2 linked regions of the Saccharomyces cerevisiae S288C genome follow. Each later gene encodes a partner of the first gene's protein in a complex. Each region holds a gene or a part of one and is shown in the gene's direction. Other genes may lie near its edges.

Region 1 (5,148 bases):
ACATATTGACTGTGTTTTTGATAGATACAATTGCAAAGACTTCAAACGTGGTAAGGAACGAAAGTTCTAACGGAGGATGGTGGGAGATTACTCATAATACTCTGTTTATTCCGGCAAATGAAACATTTGATAGGCCTCATAATGGTTATGTTGATATTCTTCCGATTGGTGGTTACAATCATTTGGCTTATTTCGAAAATAGTAATAGTTCACACTATAAAACATTGACAGAGGGGAAATGGGAAGTGGTGAATGGCCCACTTGCCTTTGATTCAATGGAAAATCGTCTTTACTTCATTTCTACACGAAAGAGTTCAACCGAACGCCACGTTTACTACATAGATTTACGGTCACCAAATGAAATTATTGAAGTTACTGATACTTCTGAGGATGGTGTCTATGATGTGTCCTTTTCTTCTGGTAGAAGGTTTGGTTTACTCACCTATAAAGGACCAAAAGTTCCATATCAAAAAATTGTGGACTTCCATTCTCGTAAAGCAGAAAAATGCGACAAAGGTAATGTTTTAGGCAAATCACTATACCATTTGGAAAAGAACGAAGTACTTACCAAAATTTTAGAAGATTATGCGGTACCCAGAAAATCATTCAGGGAATTGAACCTAGGAAAGGACGAATTTGGAAAGGATATACTAGTGAACTCGTATGAAATCCTACCAAATGATTTCGATGAAACGTTAAGTGACCACTATCCTGTATTTTTCTTTGCATATGGGGGACCGAATTCTCAACAAGTTGTCAAAACGTTTTCCGTAGGATTTAATGAAGTGGTAGCTTCACAATTAAACGCAATTGTAGTTGTTGTTGACGGTCGTGGTACTGGCTTCAAAGGTCAAGACTTTAGATCCCTTGTTCGCGATAGGCTCGGTGATTACGAGGCCCGCGACCAAATATCTGCGGCTTCCTTATATGGTTCTTTAACTTTTGTTGATCCGCAAAAGATTTCCTTATTTGGTTGGTCATACGGGGGGTACCTGACACTAAAAACTTTGGAGAAAGATGGCGGAAGACATTTCAAATACGGGATGTCAGTTGCGCCAGTAACCGACTGGAGATTTTACGATTCTGTTTATACTGAGAGGTACATGCATACTCCTCAAGAAAACTTTGATGGATACGTAGAATCAAGCGTTCATAATGTCACTGCTTTGGCACAAGCAAATAGATTTTTGTTGATGCACGGAACAGGAGATGATAACGTTCACTTTCAAAATTCCCTAAAGTTTCTGGACCTTTTGGATCTAAATGGTGTGGAAAATTATGACGTCCACGTCTTTCCTGACTCAGATCATAGTATAAGATACCATAATGCGAATGTAATCGTTTTTGACAAGCTATTGGATTGGGCAAAGCGTGCTTTCGATGGGCAATTTGTCAAATGAGTTGACTATTTACAGCTCATCTCATAGAGACATTCATAAAACATTTTCATATTTACATACTATGTATATATAAAATTGGTAATATAACAGATTAATGTTCGTAGAAGATGATGTGTTTTACGGTGGCAAAAGGCGAGCACGAAATTTGGCAAAGGGTATAAGTAATTAAGCAAATTTGGTCAAATCTATAATTCTTCACTAACAAACTTGCCCATTGGTCTACATAAGGTGCGATTCGTATAAATTTGGAAGACAATTGCAAGAAAATGGTAGACGAAAGTGATAAGAAACAACAGACTATTGATGAACAATCGCAGATAAGTCCTGAAAAGCAGACACCAAATAAGAAGGATAAAAAAAAGGAGGAAGAGGAGCAGCTATCCGAAGAAGATGCAAAGCTTAAAACAGATTTAGAGCTATTGGTTGAAAGGCTGAAAGAAGACGATTCATCTTTATATGAAGCGTCTTTGAATGCCTTAAAGGAATCGATCAAAAATTCTACGAGTTCTATGACCGCCGTTCCCAAACCTTTGAAATTCCTTCGTCCGACATATCCAGACCTATGTTCTATCTACGACAAATGGACAGATCCAAACTTGAAATCCTCTTTAGCGGATGTCTTGTCCATTTTAGCCATGACATACTCTGAAAATGGTAAACACGATTCATTGAGATATAGATTACTCTCCGACGTTTCTGATTTTGAAGGGTGGGGACATGAGTACATCCGTCATTTAGCTTTGGAGATCGGTGAAGTATATAATGATCAAGTGGAAAAAGATGCTGAAGATGAAACATCATCTGATGGATCTAAAAGCGATGGATCTGCGGCTACTTCCGGGTTCGAATTTTCCAAGGAAGATACTCTTCGTCTATGTTTAGACATTGTCCCATACTTTTTGAAACACAACGGTGAAGAAGACGCGGTAGATTTGCTTTTGGAAATTGAATCTATTGACAAGCTACCTCAATTTGTCGATGAGAATACCTTCCAAAGAGTTTGTCAATATATGGTTGCATGTGTTCCACTTTTGCCACCTCCTGAAGACGTTGCCTTTTTAAAAACCGCATATTCTATTTATCTATCTCAGAACGAACTTACAGATGCAATTGCTTTGGCAGTTAGACTAGGGGAAGAGGATATGATCAGATCCGTTTTCGATGCTACTAGCGATCCAGTGATGCATAAACAATTAGCATATATTTTAGCCGCACAAAAGACATCGTTTGAGTATGAAGGTGTTCAGGATATAATTGGAAATGGTAAATTGTCTGAACACTTTTTATATCTTGCTAAAGAATTGAATCTAACTGGGCCAAAAGTCCCAGAAGACATTTATAAGAGCCATTTGGATAACTCTAAATCTGTGTTCTCAAGCGCCGGCCTAGATTCTGCTCAACAAAATCTAGCTTCGTCATTTGTCAACGGGTTCTTAAACTTAGGTTATTGTAACGATAAATTAATTGTGGATAATGATAATTGGGTATATAAAACCAAAGGTGACGGTATGACTTCCGCGGTAGCTAGTATTGGATCTATATACCAGTGGAATCTCGATGGTTTGCAACAACTGGATAAGTATCTCTACGTTGATGAGCCAGAAGTTAAAGCTGGTGCATTATTAGGTATTGGTATTTCCGCTTCCGGTGTGCATGATGGTGAAGTTGAACCAGCTTTGTTACTTTTGCAAGATTATGTTACTAACCCAGACACTAAAATTAGTTCAGCAGCTATTCTTGGCCTGGGTATTGCATTTGCTGGTAGCAAGAATGACGAAGTGTTGGGTTTGTTATTACCAATTGCCGCATCCACTGACTTGCCTATTGAAACTGCAGCTATGGCTTCCTTAGCTTTGGCTCATGTTTTCGTTGGTACTTGTAATGGTGACATTACAACTTCTATCATGGACAACTTTTTAGAGCGTACAGCCATCGAGTTGAAGACCGACTGGGTAAGGTTTTTGGCACTTGCTTTAGGTATTCTATACATGGGCCAAGGTGAACAGGTGGATGATGTTTTAGAAACTATTAGTGCTATTGAACATCCAATGACATCAGCTATTGAAGTATTAGTTGGTTCATGTGCTTATACTGGTACGGGTGATGTTTTGTTAATTCAAGATTTGTTACATCGTTTGACCCCTAAAAACGTAAAAGGTGAAGAAGATGCAGATGAAGAAGAAACTGCCGAAGGACAGACTAATAGCATAAGTGACTTTTTGGGTGAGCAAGTGAATGAACCTACCAAGAACGAGGAAGCTGAGATCGAAGTGGACGAAATGGAGGTTGATGCCGAAGGAGAGGAAGTTGAAGTTAAAGCAGAAATAACAGAGAAGAAGAATGGTGAGAGTTTAGAAGGTGAAGAGATAAAATCCGAAGAAAAGAAGGGAAAATCTTCCGATAAGGATGCTACTACGGACGGGAAAAATGATGATGAGGAGGAAGAAAAAGAAGCAGGCATAGTCGATGAACTTGCTTATGCAGTTTTGGGTATTGCTTTGATTGCCCTTGGTGAAGATATTGGCAAGGAAATGTCTTTACGTCATTTTGGTCATTTAATGCATTATGGTAATGAACACATCCGTCGTATGGTTCCTTTAGCGATGGGTATTGTTTCCGTTTCTGATCCACAAATGAAGGTGTTCGATACCTTAACTCGTTTTTCACATGACGCCGATTTAGAAGTTTCAATGAATTCAATTTTCGCTATGGGTCTATGTGGTGCTGGTACTAACAATGCAAGGTTAGCTCAACTATTAAGACAGTTGGCAAGTTATTATTCACGTGAACAAGACGCTTTGTTTATCACCAGATTAGCACAAGGGTTATTGCATCTTGGTAAAGGTACTATGACAATGGATGTGTTCAATGATGCACATGTTTTGAATAAGGTGACATTAGCATCAATATTAACTACCGCAGTTGGTTTAGTATCGCCAAGTTTCATGTTGAAGCATCATCAATTGTTCTACATGTTGAATGCCGGTATAAGGCCAAAGTTTATTCTAGCATTAAACGATGAGGGAGAGCCAATAAAGGTTAATGTGCGCGTTGGTCAAGCAGTGGAAACTGTCGGCCAAGCAGGCAGACCAAAAAAGATTACTGGCTGGATTACGCAATCCACTCCTGTTTTACTAAATCATGGCGAAAGAGCAGAACTAGAAACTGATGAATATATTAGTTACACAAGCCATATTGAGGGCGTAGTAATTTTAAAGAAGAACCCTGACTATCGTGAAGAGGAGTAAACTGAATAGCTTTTGGGCAATATCAACCAGAATAGGAAAAATTCAAAACCATTTTAAATAAATATATATTTATATAGTTGTACATTTTTTTCTCTTACTTAATATAATATGATTTTTAGATAATAAAAGAAAACGTGCATATATACATACACATGTATCTCAGATATCTCATTATATCTATTAGTAAATATGGATGCGCTTATCTAGCTCGTAAAAACGGAAAAGAAAAGCCTGGTTTGAGCGCTTACTGAAATTCAGAAGCTTTACCGGCCATCAATAAACCAACAATCAAACCTAATAAACCTAAAATGGACCCGAAAATTTCAATGACCAAAATTTTAACAAACAATGCGGAATCAGCAGCATCGGAAATGGCAGCAGTCGCACCGGTGATACCGACAGCGATACCACAAATCAAATTGGAAGCACCGACAGTGATACCTGCCCAGAAAAGAGAATAACCAGTGTACAGGTTTGATTTCGAGTACATGTTCTCAGCA
Region 2 (3,641 bases), on another chromosome or scaffold:
CTGGCTTTTGTTTCCTATACACATTCTTAGCAAAACTTTTGGTGTTGTAACAAGCAATGAGATAGAGAAAGAAATATATCCATCAATGGAAGAAATAGGCAGACGTCGGTAATTTTATTCTATTGAAAATATGCAAAAGTGACAGTATAAATTGAAGTAACTAATTTTACATCTAGTAAGCTGCTGTTGAAGAATTGAATAGTATCGCAGTATTTATTTTGTATACCCTTAGAATACACATACTTGGTGTTAGAAGCCATCTAATACACTATATAACTCGGGGATTAAATCATCTTGGAAGAGCGAATCTAGTTCAGGATCGCCTGTCGTAAAGTTCGAGGATAAGGACATCGAATTTAGTAGTAGTCCTAATGACTCGATGTTATTGTCTAAAATTTGTTCAATTTCTTTTCCTGATTTATCATCGTCTTCTTGAATAGGTAAACAGTAATATTTACCAAAGTTCAGGAGGGTTAGGATGGTGTGAAAAATTATAGGAAGGAACATCAAGAAAGTGCTTGAAATATTTTTCTTGGATTATGGAAGTATCAAGAACGATATTATTTCAATAATGTGATGGTTTATATCTTTGCATACAATAGATTTTGTGATACTTTTTTTATGTAATGGTCCCGTAACCCCGTCGCTCTTTCCCTTTTAATTTTGCCCGATCCACTTTCTATGCCGGTAGTTTAGCCGCCAAGTGCTATTTTCAAACGAATCAATAGTAGCGGCTGCAACTTTGAAAAAGAAAGAAACAAAATTATGCGCTAGTTTTCCATTTCTTGTATTCTTTTTTCTTTTGCGGTGGTAATTACGGGAATTTAGTGATGTTGGAACGAGAGTAATTAATAGTGACATGAGTTGCTATGGTAACAATCTAATGCTTACACCGTATATTAATGTACACCTCGTATACGTTTAAGTGTGATTGCACCTATTGCAGAAGGAATGTTAAACGAGAAGCTCAGACAATACTGAAGCTGTGCTAAAGATCTATTAATTGAACATGATATGGTAGGTACATATATGAGGAATATGAGTCGTCACATCAATGTATAGTAACTACCGGAATCACTATTATATTGGTCATGATTAATATGACCAATCGGCGTGTGTTTTATATACCTCTCTTATTTAGTATAAGAAGATCAATACTTATTTCTTCATTAATACTATTTTTTACCTCTAACTATCAACAAGTGATAATTGTTGGAATTCCATTGTTAATAAAGGCAATAATATTATGTATACAGAATACAGCTTCCTCTAACTTCTATGACAGTTTCTCATACCTTATGTCATCATCTAACATTGTACATTATAATATACTCGTAGTAAGACTACTAGTTGAGAGAGAATAGTTGATTTTTATTCTAACAAATAATATTCCAGCAGGTTTACATATTCCTAGGTTTGGGATATATCTTAAGTCAATAATTCATCATTAGTAAGGCAACTTGGCCGAGTGGTTAAGGCGAAAGATTAGAAATCTTTTGGGCTTTGCCCGCGCAGGTTCGAGTCCTGCAGTTGTCGTCATTTTTATATTCCCAATATTTTTATCACTCCGGGTAACGAGTTATTAACGGTTTTTCTCCGGTGGCAAATGTCTCTTTTCTTTTACCTAAAAGAAGGTTAATGTGAATATTAGTGAATATGATGCGTATCAGTGTCAAGCTTACAGTCAATTCAAGTTAAAGAAGAGACAGCGTTTTTAATAGAAAATAAAATGGGACAAGGTGTATCATCTGGACAAGACAAAAAGAAGAAGAAGGGATCTAATCAGAAACCCAAATATGAACCTCCCGTTCAATCTAAATTTGGTCGTAAGAAAAGAAAGGGAGGTCCAGCTACTGCTGAAAAATTACCCAACATATATCCAAGTACTCGTTGTAAGTTAAAGCTTCTAAGGATGGAACGAATTAAAGACCATTTGTTATTAGAAGAAGAATTTGTCTCTAACTCTGAAATTTTAAAACCCTTTGAAAAGAAGCAGGAGGAGGAAAAGAAACAATTGGAAGAAATACGTGGAAATCCATTGAGCATTGGGACCCTTGAAGAAATTATAGACGATGATCATGCGATAGTGACAAGTCCAACTATGCCTGATTATTATGTATCTATCTTATCCTTTGTCGATAAAGAGTTACTAGAGCCTGGATGTTCTGTGTTATTGCATCATAAAACCATGTCCATCGTAGGTGTTTTACAGGATGACGCCGATCCAATGGTTTCGGTCATGAAAATGGATAAGTCGCCAACAGAATCATACAGTGATATTGGTGGCTTAGAATCTCAAATTCAAGAAATAAAAGAGTCTGTAGAGTTACCGTTAACACACCCCGAACTGTATGAAGAGATGGGTATCAAACCTCCCAAGGGTGTGATTCTTTATGGTGCACCCGGTACAGGTAAGACATTGCTAGCAAAGGCTGTTGCAAATCAAACATCTGCCACATTCTTAAGGATTGTTGGCTCAGAGTTAATTCAAAAATATTTGGGGGATGGTCCTAGGTTGTGTAGGCAAATTTTCAAAGTAGCGGGTGAGAATGCACCAAGTATTGTATTTATTGATGAAATAGACGCCATTGGTACTAAAAGATATGACTCCAATAGTGGTGGTGAGAGAGAAATTCAGAGAACCATGCTGGAATTGCTGAACCAGCTGGACGGGTTCGACGACAGAGGGGATGTGAAGGTGATTATGGCCACTAACAAAATCGAGACTCTTGACCCAGCATTAATCAGGCCTGGGAGAATTGATCGTAAAATCTTATTTGAAAACCCTGATCTAAGTACTAAGAAAAAAATTTTAGGGATTCACACTTCCAAGATGAATTTAAGTGAGGACGTTAATCTTGAAACTTTAGTAACAACAAAGGATGATTTGTCAGGCGCCGATATCCAGGCAATGTGTACAGAAGCAGGTTTGTTAGCCCTTAGAGAGAGAAGAATGCAAGTTACAGCGGAGGATTTTAAACAAGCCAAGGAGAGAGTCATGAAAAATAAAGTTGAGGAAAATTTAGAAGGTTTATACTTGTGATGTGCCCATTTACATTTTTCTATAATAGATTTACGTATATAAGTAATGCTTCAACAAAGCTTAATATGTGTACATTTTGTATCACGTGCAATATTTGTTTCAAAAACTTAATATAGGTAGGGCGTCGGGGCCTTCGCGAATTCTAACTGCAAAGGAAAACTGGTGAACACATCTGAGAGGGTTTGTTGTCCTAATTTTATAGGAAACTAAAACTCAAAAGACAAAGTATACCTTTGCAAATTGAAAGCTTAGTTAAACATTATTATTCGTGTGTTTGAGGTCACTTTTTTTCGTCTTAAACAGCTCTCAAAGTTGTCTCAAAATTTTTATCCGGATTCCTTTACATTAACAGACCCCAAACACAACAAGTTTTGATAGTTTAAGTAAGTGAACGCTTATTTTTGTTGTCGTTGAAAAGAAAATAAATAGGCAGTATTATCAATTAGGAGGTGAGTTAAATTCCATTCTATACCGAGTATACGAGATTTTGCACATTCTTACTTCATATATCATTTAGGCACTGCATTTATCTTTTAAAAATCATTATAATGAGTAATCATTCTGAAATCTTAGAAAGGCCAGAAACACCATATGACAT

The links. The genes of interacting proteins can lie anywhere in the genome.
Region 2: the proteins of RPN1 (region 1) and RPT2 are in contact, whole or in part, in a cryo-EM structure (PDB 6FVW), measured with the Saccharomyces cerevisiae proteins. Residues at the interface, in NP_011892.1 of Saccharomyces cerevisiae: Lys57 (codon at 1,835), Asp142 (codon at 2,090), Ser144 (codon at 2,096), Asp145 (codon at 2,099), Phe146 (codon at 2,102), Trp149 (codon at 2,111), Leu205 (codon at 2,279), Asp206 (codon at 2,282), Ile207 (codon at 2,285), Pro209 (codon at 2,291), Tyr210 (codon at 2,294), Gln247 (codon at 2,405), Tyr248 (codon at 2,408), Met249 (codon at 2,411), Val250 (codon at 2,414), Ala251 (codon at 2,417), Cys252 (codon at 2,420), Pro254 (codon at 2,426), Leu255 (codon at 2,429), Asn364 (codon at 2,756), Ser365 (codon at 2,759), Asp613 (codon at 3,503), Leu616 (codon at 3,512), Leu620 (codon at 3,524), Leu624 (codon at 3,536), Lys627 (codon at 3,545), Lys720 (codon at 3,824), Asp723 (codon at 3,833), Glu724 (codon at 3,836), Glu725 (codon at 3,839); in NP_010277.1 of Saccharomyces cerevisiae: Thr53 (codon at 1,886), Arg54 (codon at 1,889), Cys55 (codon at 1,892), Leu57 (codon at 1,898), Lys58 (codon at 1,901), Leu59 (codon at 1,904), Leu60 (codon at 1,907), Arg61 (codon at 1,910), Met62 (codon at 1,913), Glu63 (codon at 1,916), Arg64 (codon at 1,919), Ile65 (codon at 1,922), Lys66 (codon at 1,925), Asp67 (codon at 1,928), His68 (codon at 1,931), Leu69 (codon at 1,934), Leu70 (codon at 1,937), Leu71 (codon at 1,940), Glu72 (codon at 1,943), Glu73 (codon at 1,946), Glu74 (codon at 1,949), Val76 (codon at 1,955), Ser77 (codon at 1,958), Glu80 (codon at 1,967), Ile81 (codon at 1,970), Leu82 (codon at 1,973), Pro84 (codon at 1,979), Phe85 (codon at 1,982), Ser180 (codon at 2,267), Tyr181 (codon at 2,270).

Annotation. Positions count from the first base shown.
Region 1 is NC_001140.6:161,230-166,377, reverse strand, and holds RPN1 (proteasome regulatory particle base subunit RPN1), read left to right. Parts: upstream 1-1,666; coding exon 1,667-4,648; downstream 4,649-5,148. Other genes in the region: DAP2 (dipeptidyl aminopeptidase), read left to right, coding at 1-1,400; VMA16 (H(+)-transporting V0 sector ATPase subunit c''), read right to left, coding at 4,893-5,148.
Region 2 is NC_001136.10:436,318-439,958, forward strand, and holds RPT2 (proteasome regulatory particle base subunit RPT2), read left to right. Parts: upstream 1-1,729; coding exon 1,730-3,043; downstream 3,044-3,641. Other genes in the region: YDL007C-A (uncharacterized protein), read right to left, coding at 250-507; type 2C protein phosphatase PTC1, read left to right, coding at 3,592-3,641. UniProt on the Saccharomyces cerevisiae protein: The 26S proteasome is involved in the ATP-dependent degradation of ubiquitinated proteins. The regulatory (or ATPase) complex confers ATP dependency and substrate specificity to the 26S complex. Has ATPase activity.